Arabidopsis thaliana: one gene and its partners. Each later gene encodes a partner of the first gene's protein in a complex. Each region holds a gene or a part of one and is shown in the gene's direction. Other genes may lie near its edges.

What was found. The genes of interacting proteins can lie anywhere in the genome.
Region 2: EMB2816 (region 1) and LSM6A share a complex: the UniProt entries of both Arabidopsis thaliana proteins name them as parts of the heptameric LSM1-LSM7 complex.
Region 3: EMB2816 (region 1) and emb1644 share a complex: the UniProt entries of both Arabidopsis thaliana proteins name them as parts of the heptameric LSM1-LSM7 complex.

What each region holds. Positions count from the first base shown.
Region 1 is NC_003071.7:1,177,295-1,182,598, forward strand, and holds EMB2816 (Small nuclear ribonucleoprotein family protein), read left to right. Parts: upstream 1-2,676; 5' UTR 2,677-2,830; intron 2,831-2,922; exon of another isoform or gene 2,923-2,964; 5' UTR 2,965-3,011; coding exon 3,012-3,014; intron 3,015-3,099; coding exon 3,100-3,181; intron 3,182-3,283; coding exon 3,284-3,355; intron 3,356-3,672; coding exon 3,673-3,725; intron 3,726-3,872; coding exon 3,873-3,962; 3' UTR 3,963-4,218; downstream 4,219-5,304. Other genes in the region: REME1 (Pentatricopeptide repeat (PPR) superfamily protein), read left to right, coding at 4,266-5,304. UniProt on the Arabidopsis thaliana protein: Component of LSM protein complexes, which are involved in RNA processing. Component of the cytoplasmic LSM1-LSM7 complex which is involved in mRNA degradation by promoting decapping and leading to accurate 5'-3' mRNA decay.
Region 2 is NC_003074.8:22,093,775-22,098,921, forward strand, and holds LSM6A (Small nuclear ribonucleoprotein family protein), read left to right. Parts: upstream 1-2,694; 5' UTR 2,695-2,822; exon of another isoform or gene 2,823-3,041; 5' UTR 3,042-3,066; coding exon 3,067-3,181; intron 3,182-3,646; coding exon 3,647-3,760; intron 3,761-3,845; coding exon 3,846-3,892; 3' UTR 3,893-4,192; downstream 4,193-5,147. Other genes in the region: MPK10 (MAP kinase 10), read left to right, coding at 36-216, 291-466; AT3G59800 (stress response protein), read right to left, coding at 823-1,011, 1,105-1,151, 1,243-1,378, 1,809-1,910, 2,314-2,400; LETM1 (LETM1-like protein), read right to left, coding at 4,515-4,618, 4,702-4,817, 4,899-4,981, 5,069-5,147. UniProt on the Arabidopsis thaliana protein: Component of LSM protein complexes, which are involved in RNA processing. Component of the cytoplasmic LSM1-LSM7 complex which is involved in mRNA degradation by promoting decapping and leading to accurate 5'-3' mRNA decay.
Region 3 is NC_003076.8:9,812,924-9,818,573, forward strand, and holds emb1644 (Small nuclear ribonucleoprotein family protein), read left to right. Parts: upstream 1-2,576; 5' UTR 2,577-2,822; intron 2,823-2,943; 5' UTR 2,944-2,980; coding exon 2,981-2,983; intron 2,984-3,081; coding exon 3,082-3,123; intron 3,124-3,255; coding exon 3,256-3,354; intron 3,355-3,459; coding exon 3,460-3,537; intron 3,538-3,606; exon of another isoform or gene 3,607-3,744; intron 3,745-3,964; coding exon 3,965-4,001; intron 4,002-4,132; coding exon 4,133-4,240; intron 4,241-4,358; coding exon 4,359-4,381; 3' UTR 4,382-4,695; downstream 4,696-5,650. Other genes in the region: AT5G27710 (T-box protein), read left to right, coding at 146-589, 664-741, 816-958, 1,349-1,419, 1,537-1,632, 1,778-1,870, 2,013-2,095. UniProt on the Arabidopsis thaliana protein: Component of LSM protein complexes, which are involved in RNA processing. Component of the cytoplasmic LSM1-LSM7 complex which is involved in mRNA degradation by promoting decapping and leading to accurate 5'-3' mRNA decay.

The sequences.
Region 1 (5,304 bases):
TACAAAGCCTGAATATAGAAGTCTTGCTCATGCCACTTGTGAGATTATTTGGCTACAACAGCTGCTTTAAGACTTACACATCAAAGTTACTTGTCCGGCAAAACTCTTCTGCGACAACAAATCAGCTATCCACATTGCTATGAACCCGGTATTTCATGAGAGGACTAAACACATAGAGATAGATTGCCATACAGTTCGTGACCAAATCAAGGCTGGTCATCTCACTACTCTACATGTTCCGACTGAGAATCAACATGCTGATATTTTGACAAAACCATTACATCCCGGTCCATTCCATCATTTACTTCAGAAGATGTCAATTTCAAATCTTTATCTTCATAAACCAGACACTTAGAACGTAAAGGTTTGAGAGGGGCGTATTATGATATATGGTGCGACAGGTTAACATCAGTTATCTGATGGTTGGTTTAGTATGGTTATTAGTGATGTATATATAAGCTTAAGTACACTTTATTTAGATTAAGATTTTGTAAAAACATTTACATGATAATAAAGATTCTGTTAGATATGAGTTTTAGCTCTCCTCTGTTCCCTTCTCTAGCTTGATCTCTCCGGTGTATCAGACTTCAATAGTTTATAATTTACTTTTCGATAACGATTATGATTTGTCCAAAAAATAAAAGTGAAACCAAAATTTAATTAAACAAGAGGGAGATTATAAAATAGTCCTCACTACGGCTGGACACGAAAAAATATCCTGAAAATTAGTGATATTTGTTATTCGATTCGTTTTAACAGAATAATTGATTTTATGATTTGCTTTCATCCAAAATATTCGGATACCCGAATTTTTTTTGTGATGATTATGGATATCCACTTTGATATATCTATTTTTTTTATATATAAATTATTTGATATAGTTTTAAAATAAGTTCCAAAACACACATTGTTGATATCACTGATCAAGAAAATGCTATTAAATTAATTCTAAAAACCAAAATCCGATAGTTTAAGATGCCACTAACATGAAAGAAAAATGACCAAACTAATAACTTAACACAATATATCCAAAGGAGAAAAACTAAAGTTACAAATACTACAAACCCAAAATATACAATTATACAAACTATATTATGATATCTACATATATATACATGACTATATATTCTAACTAGATAAGGATCCGTCCGATGGACGAATTTATTTTTTTATAACTAAAATTAAATTCAGTAAAAATAATAAATAATGACGTTGTAAGTAGAAATTATCTTTCAAAAGTAAAATATATTTATTTTTACTGTTTATTGTGTTTTTCACCACTAATATTATTGATTAAAAATTATTTGAATGAAAAATATATCACATTGACTAAAACCCTTTATATATAAAGATGATCTATCAACGTTGACTAAAAACTTTTGAAATCATGACATATGATAAAACTTTTGATTGATAACTTATTCATGATAATATTAGTTACTAATTTTGAGAAAAAAATCTATTATATTATTTATAAAATGTGATATCCGTCAATGCTGAAGATAAATGGTTTTAGTAGAAAAGCATTTTCAGGCCGATTTGACCCGACTGAGTTCAAACGGATGTATGTGGAGCTTTTACAAAATAAAGTTGACTCATTTTTAGTTATCTATTTTGTATTTACTTTATCAGCGTTGGATTAAGTAAGACAATGACAATCTTTGGAAGTTACATCGTCTCGTTGGAATACGCACAAATGAAGTCTCACTCAGGCTACGATGACCAATCCAAGCAATAGAGGAGAGATTAAGAGTCTTAGAGTCAAACTGGTCTGCAAAGAACTTTATAAAGTGATGAGGATCAAATGTAGAAGATTTGAAGATGACATAGAAGAAATTTTCGAATTCACATGTAATTATAAGTCTTTTGGTTTTGATTCATGAATAAAGTGATTCTTTCTTCGTTAATGATTGAGATTTCGGTTTAGATTTTTTTTTTAGTCTAAATTAAGGTCAACAACACGTTTGAATCTTTATTCATCTTTTTTTTACGGCTCTAATATCTCTTAATTTTACTCGATTTGGTGTTATTTAAATTTCGATTCGGCCGTTGAATACCTGAAATTTTGCTAGGTCAAGTTATTCAAATCTTTTTAACAGAGATATTTACTATTTGCGAGTTTATAAATGTGTGTGCATTTTTCGTAAAAGAATCAAAAATTTCTTTTTTGGAGTTTTGTGTCGATAGATGGTTAAGAGATTTTACCAAATGATTTACTTTACGACTTACAAGTACTTCACAAGTTCATAGTTAAATTTTAAAAGCGTTGCTCAGAATTAGAGGTGGATCAAACTTATGTTTCGTTTTAATTTTATTTTTGGTTAAATTTGTTAGTAATTGTTTTTAATAGGTTGTGCCGTTGTGGTAAATTTGCTTTGTGTTTACCAGTTATCTTGTTTTTTAAACATCTATTTTATTAGATTAAAAGTAAGGAGTATAATGACAATGCTAAATTTAGTTGTCTTTATTGTAATTTCTATTCAGATGATGTTTATTCTTCTTAGCTAACTGAACAATTGTATTACGATTTTATTAATTCCTAACTAATATCCCCTTCCAATTTTATTTCGGGTTTAGTTAACAATTTAATGTTTAGTTATCGGTTTATGGTTCAATTTACGGTTCAGTTCAAATAATATGGTAACCATGGTTAGGGATTTAAACCAGAGTCCTTTACGAGATCAGAGTTAAAAAACAAAAAGCGTCACTAGGAAGCTGCGACTATTTGACTGACTCTGATTTCACGCGACTCCTTGTGAGATTCTCCGATTGCTTCGCCTGAGTTTCTGGGTTAACTCTCCACGCCGTCACTTTGATCTTTGCTTTTCCGGTGAGGTTTCTTCATCCACTTGTTGATTTCCGAATTCACACATTTTCCGAATCCACTTGGGGCCAAAGAATTGCAAACCCTAATTTTTAATCATCAACTCTATTCTGAACCAATTTGATTTCCGTTTTTTGCAGATCTTTAGGGTTTTTGTTTAGGGAATTGTCGAAGACTCTGCTCTAACATGGTAAAGTTTAACCTAAATTGAAGTAGCAAAGTATCATTGTTATATGAGTCGAGTTAATTCTTAAGCGAGTGTTTGTTATTCACAGTCTGGAAGAAAAGAAACGGTTTTAGATTTGGCCAAGTTTGTAGATAAGGGTGTGCAAGTTAAGCTCACTGGTGGTAGACAAGGTAATAAAACAAGTGTTTCTCTCATTATGCTCCAAAGATGATGATTCTTTCTAATGTTTTCTCTGAGATTTGTTTGATAGTTGCTATGTTTTTTGCTTGCAGTGACTGGAACTCTTAAAGGCTATGACCAATTGCTTAATCTTGTTCTTGATGAAGCAGTCGAGTTCGTTCGAGGTATCTTTTATCTTACCTATATCTACTGCATTGATCTTGTTAGGCTACAATTCTCTAGTGGAATCCGCCTCTTAGTAAACGAATCTCTGTATTGCTATGAAGTTTATTACTCTGGTTCATACAGATGTCTCCATGATGCCATTGGAAGATATATGGAAATTTTGATTAGAAGAGACTGTTTGATTGCTTAATCATGTTATGTTGGTGATATGAATGGGATGATTTCATTCTCTTAGCTAGATTTTGAAACTAGAAGTGGGATCATATTTCCATAGATCTAACTCAGTTTTATGACCCTTGTGTTATGTTTTGATCAGATCATGATGATCCTTTGAAGACTACGGATCAGACAAGACGCCTTGGTTTGATTGTATGATTCATTTACCTTCTTTTTTCATTACTATAAGTGTAATCCTGTTTAGTGCAAATAATATCATTGTTTCTTCTAGCATCGTGTTATTTGTAATGGAGTTCCATAGTTTAGATGCTAAATCATGATGGTTTGTCTTGTTTTTAGGTTTGCCGTGGAACAGCGGTGATGCTTGTCTCACCAACCGATGGCACCGAAGAAATCGCTAACCCGTTCGTTACTGCAGAGGCTGTCTAAAGACTTTCTTCTCAAAGAATATGTCTCTCTATTAGTTTAACTTGGCGATTTAGAGAGTATTTCATCTAACTCTCTGGTGTGATGTTGGAAACATATATGTTCAATTTAAACAATTTGGAACATCATGGACACTTACCTAACTTCGTTCTCAAATCTCGTTGTGCCAAAGCACAAAATCTCCTTAACCAGAACTGAAGTAAACCGGAAAAATCGAATGTCTGAGTCTTCTCGTTACTGAACCATGGATTTATAAGCGAGTGATTTGAAATTTTTGAAGTTGTTTCCATAGTTTTAGTGGAGACGATGAAGTCAGTAATGTCAAAGATCAAACTTTTTAGACCAGTCGTCACGTTACGTTGTTCTTACAGCTCCACAGATCAAACTCTTCTTCTTAGCGAATTTACCAGACTCTGTTACCAGAGAGACCTTCCCAGAGCTATGAAAGCAATGGATTCATTGCAAAGTCATGGTCTTTGGGCAGACTCTGCAACTTATTCTGAGCTTATCAAGTGTTGTATATCTAATAGAGCTGTTCATGAAGGGAATCTCATTTGTCGTCATTTATACTTCAATGGTCATCGACCAATGATGTTTCTGGTTAATGTTCTGATCAATATGTATGTAAAATTCAATCTTTTGAATGATGCTCACCAACTGTTCGATCAAATGCCTCAAAGGAATGTTATTTCTTGGACTACGATGATTTCTGCTTATTCTAAGTGTAAGATTCATCAAAAGGCTTTGGAGCTTTTGGTTTTGATGTTGAGAGATAATGTGAGGCCTAATGTGTATACTTACTCTTCTGTTTTGAGATCTTGCAATGGTATGTCTGATGTTAGAATGCTTCATTGTGGGATTATTAAGGAGGGGTTGGAGTCTGATGTTTTTGTTAGGAGTGCTTTGATTGATGTGTTTGCTAAACTGGGTGAGCCGGAGGATGCTCTTTCGGTTTTCGATGAAATGGTTACAGGTGATGCGATTGTTTGGAACTCGATCATTGGTGGGTTTGCTCAGAATAGTAGAAGCGATGTAGCTTTGGAGCTTTTTAAGAGGATGAAGAGAGCTGGTTTCATTGCGGAGCAGGCTACGTTGACTAGCGTATTGAGGGCTTGTACTGGTTTGGCTCTGTTGGAGCTTGGGATGCAAGCTCATGTTCATATCGTGAAATATGACCAAGACTTGATACTCAACAACGCACTCGTGGACATGTATTGCAAGTGTGGGAGTTTGGAGGATGCTCTCCGTGTGTTCAACCAGATGAAGGAGAGAGATGTGATTACATGGAGCACTATGATTTCAGGGTTGGCACAGAATGGTTATAGCCAGGAGGCACTGAAGTTGT
Region 2 (5,147 bases), on another chromosome or scaffold:
ATTAGCTTAAAAAGTCTTGGGACATTGTTTTGCAGCTCATTGGCACTCCATCTGAAGAAGAGCTTGGATCGTTGAGTGAATACGCTAAGCGATACATAAGGCAGCTTCCTACGCTTCCTCGCCAATCTTTCACTGAGAAATTCCCGAACGTGCCTCCCTTAGCAATAGACTTGGTGGAGAAGATGCTAACATTTGATCCTAAACAGAGAATCTCAGGTCAGTTTCTGTCTCCATATAGCCTCTTCTGCAGTTTTATTTGGATTCTTATCATCAGTTTTGCCACTTTGCAGTTAAAGAAGCACTTGCTCATCCATACCTTAGCTCGTTTCACGACATTACCGATGAACCAGAGTGCTCAGAGCCCTTCAATTTCGATTTAGATGAACATCCATTCTCTGAGGAGCAGTTTAGAGAGTTAATCTACTGTGAAGCCCTAGCTTTCAACCCTGAAACCAGCAATGATTGAAAAGGACCATATCTTTGATCCTTGTTCTGTTTTTTTCTTTTCCTTCTCTGCTTTTCTTTGAATAATTTCCCTTTTCATTTCCTTTAATTTTTTCATCTCTCAGAAATTTTGTTGTGCTAAGATTTTCTGCTAGATTCCCTTTTGATGTTGTCAAATTTCATTTTTAAGCAAATAAACTGAAAAACCATGATTCTGTGGGCATCATTGCGACTTTCAATCCAACAAATATTAATACATGAGCTATTGTCAAAAATATAACATTGCAACAAGGAAGAAAGCAATCATATCCTACTTTGAGTATTTTGATTGAAGACAATCTTACTCTTTGTAATAGTTCATTTGCAGTTTTGCTTTTGTCAATTCTTCAAATTGCCAAAGAATCTAGAGAGTGGTACAGGGCCATCGGTTTCGTGTTTACTTTTGCTAGAGTGTTTGTCTCTGCTGGACTTGTGCTTCTTCTCCTTCTTTGATCTTTTCGAACTTGATCTTGATCTTCTAGATTCATCTTCATCACTGCTAGATGACGACTCTGAGGACGAATAATGCTGCAAATTCATAACACAACCGATCATGGTTCATGTTAGCATAAGCTAGAAAACCTCACACTATCTGATATAAGCTAAACTTTTAGAAGGCACCTTTCTCTTTTTGCTTTTCTTCTTCTTTGAATCTCTGTCTTTCTTATCTGCGAGGTCATTGAACCATTGGCGACCAGTTAATAACGTCCTCAGAAAGAAGGTTTAGATGTCATGTTAAGTTAAGTGGATTATGTTTACCTTTTCGTGACTTATCACTAGAATAGTTCCTTCCTTTGGAGAGTTTCAACGACCTTTCTGCATCCAGCTGAGCTCTATACTCACGCATCAGTTTATCGGTATCTGCTTCAAGTTCTCCCTTTTTCAATTCTTCTTCCTACACATGTTACACGAAAGAAAGATATAATGTTAAACATTTCCTAATGTTCCATACTCACAATACAGAGAGACTGCTGCAAGTAGTAGTAAAAAACTGATATTGCAGATAATAAAAATGTTTAAAAAATGAGCATGACTAGAGTTACTTGAAAACCGCGAGATAGGGATAGATGTAATGTAGAAGGAAGACACACTCATTTTTATATAAACACACAAAGACTGCGTATCTGTGGCTGAAGATGATAAACAGCAGAGGAAAAGAAAATGATATGTTGGAATAAAGCTTCTAAATTGACGACAATAATAGCAATCTTATGAACACTAAATCATCAATGGTCAATTGATTATCTTCTATGGCATTATAACAAGGAACACCGTTCCATACAACATACAGAAGAACTTAAGTATTAAAAAGGCAAAAAGATTACCTTTTGCTTCTGCTTATACTCTTCCCAGGTAATAGTATGTGTAGTCTTGAGGCTAGCCAAACGAGCCGCATGCCACTCTGGTGTATGAAATGAACCATCCACCTGAGACAATCCTCATCAGAAATGTTCCGGTACCAATGCAAAATATCAAAGTTTGACTAATCCAAATGCTTCTTTGTGTTCACAGCTTACAACAACAATAAAAAGACTCTTGAATCACTGTAACACAAACTCTGATGCTACACTTTTACGAAATCACATTTAAACATGGACTTGATATCGTCTACAAGACCTAGCAGGTATTAGATACAAGTTCTTCCCCCAAAATTGGGACTCATAAAGGATCTCTTGTAGGCTTAATTCTAAATGCAGCTCGATAACCCAACAACACAAAAGATCAACAAAACCATAAGTAAATCAACCAAATTGGAATTTTGTTTGGAGAAGTAAAAAAAAACAGAATCAATTTGCAATGAAGAAGATGAGAGTATGAAAAGGTACAAACCATTCCGTCTTCAACCTCATCCGGCTGGGCGGAGCTGGAACCAACCCTAGATCTCTGCATAGCCTTGTAAGCTTGATTCTTCCCCATAGCTAATAGAAGATTTACCCCACAAGAAACAGTCCGCAAATTCCTTGCAGGAGAAAGAGAATTTAGAGAGATTGAGAGGAATTGTTTGTAAAATCTAGGGTTTGGGGGATTAACGGTCCAAAGGGAGAGGATTTAGGGATCTGTAGAGAAAGCAAACGAGAGAGAGACGAGAACAGAAGAAACTGTGAGGTCGAACCGAAACGCACTGGAGATTTAATTTCACCCTCCAAAGTAAAATAATAAAATCTATAAGGACTAATGTTCAATTATTATTAGTTTTAATATGAAAACTCGATCGAATCGAAATAACAATAATCATATAGTATATAGTTTTGGAAATAAATAATAAAAGCCCTTAGGACCGATTCGTTATTTCTTCGCTCTCTCTTTCTCTCTGTGTCTCGTACTCGAGTAGGTCTCAGGTAAGGAGTTCTTCTTTCAGTTCCTTTAATCCTTGTTAAAGTTTCGATTTCTCTTTACATTTTCAATCGAATTCGCTTCTATTGGGTTGAAGGTTTAGGTTTTTAGGTTTCGGAGTCTTTTTGTGATTCGAGAGATTGACTCTGAATGGTTTTTACCTTTTGAGTTTTTGTAGTTCGAAGAGCGACCAAACTGATTTCAGATCTCAATTGTTTCTGCAGTTACGTAAAGGATCGAGCTTAAAAGATGAGTGGAGTTGAAGAGAAAGTTTCTGGAACGACAAAGACACCTGCAGATTTCCTCAAATCCATCCGTGGGAGACCCGTTGTTGTCAAGCTCAATTCTGGTGTTGATTATCGAGGTGCCTCTCTCTCTCGTTAGATGTTCTTATGTGTTTTGCAAGTTCTCTATCTCTGCTGCACTTTAGGTTAGAAGCTTTGACTTAGGACTAGTTCTTTTGTCTATGTTAAGGGAATTAAAGAGTTGCTTGTATTAAGCCCACTTAAGTAACTTAATTATCATGTTATGTCTTCAGCTTTTAAATGATTCTTTTAAAGTCAATATGTGAAGCTTTTCTTACATTTTCTAAGGTTTCCTTGTGAACATTGTTCAATGGTTTTCTTAAGAACATGTTCCTTTCTGCCTGCAATAAGGTTACAATAGTTGACTGAGATATTTGAATATTTAAGTCAGTTTCTCTCATTATCAAGGCTACTTATATCATTCTTGTTGACTTCTTTCCTTTCGTGCCCGAGTCAGTTTTGTCTATGTTCTGTTCAAGCTTAATGTTGAGTTCTTGATCAAGTTTTTATTACTCTTTTCACAGGCACTCTTACTTGTCTTGATGGATATATGAACATAGCAATGGAGCAGACGGAGGAGTATGTAAACGGGCAGCTCAAGAACAAATATGGTGACGCCTTTATCCGTGGAAACAACGGTAACTAAAATCTCTCACACTCATCCTTCTCTCAATCTTCTTCTTTGTATATCTTTCTTTTTAAGTGTGGTTTCTTTGGATGCAGTTCTTTACATCAGTACAGTAAACATGACTGTAGCAGACGGAGCCTAGGCCCATCATGATCATCAACAACAACAACAGTGGTCATGTTATGGCTGCCATTTTTGTTGTCTTCTTCTACCTCATATTAAAAGAGTAGTAGACATGTACCAAGATTGTCATCCTATGTTCTTCAGTAGATTTTTGGGATACAGACATCACTTTTTTCTTAGTAATATGATACTCTTCCATGTGACCCCAGATAAAGAAGAAAAATTATTAATTTATGGCTTGATACAATCATACAAGCAAACAAAATTGAGTTTGGGTGACCAACAGATCGAAACGAGGAAGATCATTAAAGTTTAGTAATCGAATTATGTCATTTAGGGATCACTGGAAACACACATGTCAAACTAGTATAACCAGTCAATCATCAGATTATCATATTCATAGCCATCGACACATTTGAATCAGGAGTTTCCATTGAAATAAAACGCTCAAGATATCATTCTTGGCGTAATGTTATTTTTAATCTTCAACCTCTTTTCACATTACTAGCAAAAGGTCTCGTATTCTTAGCCGCTTGTATATGTAAGTAGCCTGCTTATGTCTAAGCAGCAAAACATGAAGTAGAGCTTCTCTCAATAAAACTCTCTTCACTAGTATTAAAAAGTCTATGTGTGTCTTAAAATCATAGTATTATTTCCTTCAGCTTGATTCTTCTTCCGTTGCATTTTCTTCTGGCTTGCTTCCCAATCTCCCCAACCTTACAATGTCTTCCACCATAATTCTTCCCTCTGTTGAATAACAGATTTATAAAAAAGATCAACTTCAGGGAGATAAGAGCTCAAGAAGGAGAGGATCGCTCTGTTCTTTACCTTTATCTTTGGAGAGACTACTGATTAGTTGTTGAAGGCCGTCGTTAGCGAGTGTGTCTTTCAGGTACATTGCAGCAGCCGCAACTTCATCAGGTGTGACTTTTCCATCTCGATCTCTGTGTTCATTCAGATGTGATCACTTTAGATTCTAAGTCTCGGAAACAGAACACTCAAACAGAAAAATGGAGTCTATATACCTGTCAAGAAGCTGCCAGCCTTTGCCAATTTTGATATCCACATCATCAATTTCCTTCTCTAGGTTTTGTATCAGACCATCAACCTTAAAAAGTATGACCGAAGAGTAAGCCTCTTAAACAAATCTCATGGGACTTTAATAGTCTTAAAAACCGATTTAAAATCTTCTTACCTTCTCCATTAGTGCAGAGGAAACCTCGTCTGCTTCAGCAACTTCATCAGCTTGGTCAATATCTACTCTAGCTGCTTTG
Region 3 (5,650 bases), on another chromosome or scaffold:
TGTCGCTAATTAATGGCTTCGTTAATTAAACACTTCTAATAATTCTCCAATGGAGTTTACGTGACTCTACAGTCTCTCTTCTCCATTCTCCAATTTCTACAAAGATAATGTGGATTCACCAAAAATTCAGAGGAAGGACACGACAATGGTGAATTCGTACGTTCCTCTTCGTTTCACCATTTTCATCTCCTTCTCCATCGCAGCAGCTTCATCCTTCAAACTCCACTCCGCTTCTCATTCTCCGTCGTCATTTCCGAAAGCCACCGGCGACGATCTACTCTCCGTTCTCGGACCTCCCTCCGCCGCGTCGTGCCTCAACCCAATCGTCTCTCGAGAGATCAAATCGTGTCTTAAATTCCTCGTCCCATTCAAATCGGATAAACCTAAACCCGAATTTGGACGATGCTCGCCTCGTACTGGACTCTGTTCCGGAAAAATTGACGCCGTTGAGAGACGGAGCAAGTTTGAAGAGGAGAATTCTCTAATCTGGTGGCCACCGGAATCGGTTCTAGAGCTTGCTCGTCTCGCTGTTGACTCCGGTGGTGATCCCGGTTCAATTCAGCGAACTCTCAATCCGAAAATGATCCCGGTTCGTCTTCAATTTAATGGTTTGATTTGGTTTATTGTTCGTTAGATTGAATTGGTTAAAATTTGGTTTTATAGGTTCCTGATGTTGAACGATCAAGAAAAGATAAATGTCAACTTACTAGAACTCCTTATGGTCGTCATTTTATAGCAGAGGTAAAAAAAGAAGCTATTTTGTGAACTGTTTGATCTTATGGTGTAGTGATCTGATTGATGATGTTAATGAACAGGAAGTGAACTCATATTTCGAGTTCTTGTTTCATCTAATTGAATCTAGGGGACCTAGTGTTGGATTGAATGTTTCATTGAGTAGATATGATTTGTTCCATGGCCATTTATTCCTTGCCTCAGAATCTGGACGCCTTGGAATATTGTAAGTCTCCTTTGTCTCCTCAACACACACTAGGACTCTTGAAATAGTAATGATGATCATGTTCTGTTACTGACTTCGTTGTGTAAGAATCGAGACGCTTTGATAGGCACTAGAATAGTAGATATAAGGGGGTCTAGACCATTTGGTTAATTGGGAGCATTTAGGCTTTGAGAGTGAAGAGAACTCTCTAGGGTTTGTTCTTGTGTTCTTGAATGTAACCAACAGTTATCAATAAAGGAAGAATGGTTTCTGATTCTTAACACAATTGTTGCAGTGTTTTTAGAAAGGTTGAACGTAAGTAATGAGTTTTGGGGAATATTTATAGAAAGTTACATGGTTGAGCTAGGTTTTGAGTACTGTTGTTGACTAGTATCTGATTGGTGATGGTAGGTTTCATGCTAAAGAGTATCCAGCCTATGACAAGAAAGTGTTTCCTTACAACATGGGATATTGCCAGAGAGGTAATATGGGTTCTTGTCCGTGTGACTGTGAGTTTTCTTGCAATCTCTTGAAACATAGAAATGGTCACAGAAATCCCTTAAATCTTCAGTATTATGATTGTATCTCCTTTTTGTTAGGATCTGACGTGAAATACAATGATTCAATGAACTTGAGGAATATCCTTTGGCTTGCACCATTACCTAGCAACTCTTCTCCAGATTGGGTTGCTCCAGGTATAATATCTGTTTTCATCTCTGAGAGTAATAGAAAAGATCTAAACACTTCATAGTTTCAAGATGATCTTGTCTTTCATTAGTATCGTGGAAAACAATTGTAGTGTTACGTTTGACATCTTCCTTTCCTTTGATTGATCTGTAGGTGTACTTGTGGTTCTTGATGCGCATCCGGATGGAATCATATACCGAGATCTCATCCCTGACTATGTTAAGTTTGTAAGAACAATATACGAAGGTTTGAACAACTCTATACCTTCTCTCATCTCACTCATCAATTTGCTTCATTGTAGATCACATTTGATTACACATACATACACTCAAAGTCTCTTAAAGATTTATGCTCTATTGAAACTTTATGTCTTATCCTTCTCCACCAGATGATTTGGGAACAACCGCAGTTGATGTCAATTACTTGAATGTCGGAGCTCACGAACCTGACTATCAGCTTTTCATGTGCTGAAACAAACCAGTTACAGATTCACAATTACACAGTTGTGTGTAATTGAAACTTTGATTAAGATTTAGTTACTGGAGCTGGTCGAGGTTCAATAACGTTCGAGTTGGTTGATAATTTAGAGAGGTCTGAAGTATTGTCGGTTACAAAATAGCTTTAACAATCACATTGCTGAGGCTTTAAGCTTAATTGTAAAAGTTTAGGATTAGATTTGACATATCACTTGGCTTTGTTTGATTCACACAGTTCGCCTTAGTGATGTAAATTAATTAATTTCGAGAGCATCAATAACATATTAATGATTAGTTATTTTCCACCAGGTAACCATTGCCAACGGCTACAAATACACTTTGGTGTAGACAAAGTATACGAAAAATTAAAACAAAAAGCTCCGATGCCGGGAATCGAACCCGGGTCTCCTGGGTGAAAGCCAGATATCCTAACCGCTGGACGACATCGGATTAGTTGGCTAGATTGATATGTTTAACAATATATACTAAAACAGATAATATTATAAAGTTAAGGGACTCGAGTGCAAAACTCAAAAAAGTTCCCATTGACCTAAAACTAAAAGACCACCGATTCATTAGAAATCCATCCCTCTCACTGTCAAAACCCGAGAAGCAGAAAAAAGCAAAAAACAGATTTCGAAGTTTCGACGCCTCTCTATTCTTCGATCTCTTTCATATTTGAATCGTTCACCTTCTTGCCGATCTTCGGAGTATATTACAAGGTTTCTCCCTTTTCTCTCAGATTTTTTTTAGTAGCTGAATTAGGGTTTTTGTTCCGTTTTCGCTATTGCTTCTTCCGCATCTTATAAAGGGTTTAATGTTATACTTCTCTGATGTCATCAGGTTCTTAACGGATCTCTAAATCTTCTGATTTAAGAAGATGGTAAGTTACTAGACAAACTTAGGGTTTTTTTCCTTCTTTCTTGTTTGCGTTAAAGTTTCAATTTTTATTAACTGAAAGCTGTTGTTTTGATTTTATAGCTTCCTCTATCGCTGCTTAAAACTGCTCAAGGGCATCCTATGGTGAGTAAAATTTCGACCCTTGATTACAATTTTGTTATATATGAAGTGAAGCTGAGTTTAAGTGAGCATTGCATTAGGGATCTAAAGGAACTTCCTTTTACTGTAATTTTGAATCTTGTTTTGTTTTGGTAGCTCGTGGAGCTTAAGAATGGAGAGACATACAATGGGCATTTGGTGAATTGTGATACTTGGATGAACATCCATCTGCGTGAAGTCATATGTACATCAAAGGTTATCTTATGTTTTCATATGTTGATACAAATATACTTTGTTTAGACTTCGTGATGAAATTTTGTGTAGCTGACACTCATATATTTTGCTGCTTGATTACTCTAGGACGGAGATAGATTTTGGAGGATGCCGGAATGTTATATCCGTGGTAACACAATCAAGTACCTTCGAGTTCCGGATGAGGTAATTTTTTTTTGTGTGTGTGTGTATATATCTCTTGCTTGATCTAGTTTTTTCTTTGTTCCCCTCTCTCTGGAATGATGATGCTTAGCCAAATCAGATATGTGCTCCAAGAGGCATTTTTCTGTGGAACCTTGTTCAGCAGATGGTGTGCCTCTTGTTGTAGTGCGTCTTAGACGATATCACAGGGAATGGTTATTGCTGACCAGAATGTTGACCCACTTTTATGGACTTTGCTGTGTTGTGTTTCTGATGCGATTTTTCTCTATTGTTTCTACTTTATTTCATTCCCTCTAAAATCAAATTATATTCACATACCATAAACGATATCTTCATCTAGAAGGACAGTCATATGCTGTTTCTATTTATGTTCTTACTGCTGCAACCTAGATTGAGTTAACTGACTTAAATTGATTTCTTCTCTCTTCAGGTGATTGATAAAGTACAGGAGGAGAAGACACGCACAGGTATAGTATTACTCATGTCTATATTGTACCTTTACTGAGATATGCTTCGAGTTTTCTGAGGTGTTAATATTTTGCCAGAGTAGACATTGAGAATACTTCAGGTGTTAATAACGATGGTTGAATATGTGCAGATAGAAAACCACCAGGTGTTGGACGTGGAAGAGGACGTGGTGTGGATGATGGAGGAGCCAGAGGCAGAGGCAGAGGAACTTCAATGGGGAAGATGGGTGGCAACAGAGGTAAAAAATACACAAACAAAGCTTGTCACAAAACTCTGATTTTACTAGAATACTTCAAATATCTGTGTCTTGCCACAATGGGATTTAAGCTAAAACTCTAATATGTTATGAAAAACAGGAGCAGGTCGCGGCCGTGGTTGATGCAACAAGTTTTAAAGACTCGCTGCCAAATCTGCTAACTTCCCATTGTGGAGAAAACCAAAAGTTACATAAGAAGTTGGTCTGTTGTTGGTTTTCTATTAAGTATGTAAGGGATAGGGAGTGTGTTTTTCGATTCTCCTTGTGATCTTTTCGAAAAATGAAATTTGTCTTTTGCCTTTTTGTGGTATATGTGAAATTCCAATTGTTTTCATTTGCGCTTAAAAATGAATCTTTCAGGTCTTGAATTTATATAATTGTTAGAGAATTTATACAATTAACCAACGACAGGGTTTTTATAAGATCTTTGGTCCATCTTACCCTTTTATTATTTTTCTTTTTTTCCTATCTATTCTTTTTTTCCTCTTTCACCGGATTTTCTCCATCACTCGTCGGCATGACATATAAGATTAGATATGATTTAAAAAACGCATGTATTTCAAAGACAAAACATGCTCTTAAGTCTTTACATTGACTTGTAAATTTTTGTCAAGCTATCTAACAAAATCTCATATTTTTTTTTTGGAACAGATTCATATTTTTGTCAAGATTTCATGTTATATAAACAAATTACATGTCTTTTATCCAATATATCATTAGTATTTCATAAAATAACTATGTTTTAATGTAATAATTATACATATCTGTCAATATTTCACGTTATGTAAGGAGTCATATGTATTTCTTCAAATATCATGAAAATTACATATTTTTCTTCACTGTATTTTTACAATTGAATTTTCCTCTTCTCAAATCTATCGGAAGTCTTATTGTAATATTAGAAATTGATAAAGATATTTTCGTCAATATACACCGTCTAACGTGTGAATCCATAGTTCTTTTCTAACAAAAACTAAACTTATGATTAATATCTTTATTTAATCTCAGAATTTGGCTATCTAGTAATAACAACCTAATTATTATCTGAGTAAATCCCTAGAAAAAACTAGTAGTAATGGAATTTGCATGAGAATATGAGTATTTTGGTCATTTATTTTATTTTTCTCAATGTAAACTTAAATATTTATGGGTAAACAAAAAATAAAATCATAGAAGATGATATAATTAAAGATTTGCGAACGAAAATCTCATAATCAAATCTCTCTCTTCTGACACACGAAATAATGACGATAATAACCCTATCCCGACACAATCTCTGACATAAAATCAAAGCATTTAATGCTCAAAATCTCTATAAAAAAATTCATGCATCAGAATAGTTAGCAGATAACGTATTATCAGGATAACATGATAACAAATATCTCGGTAATA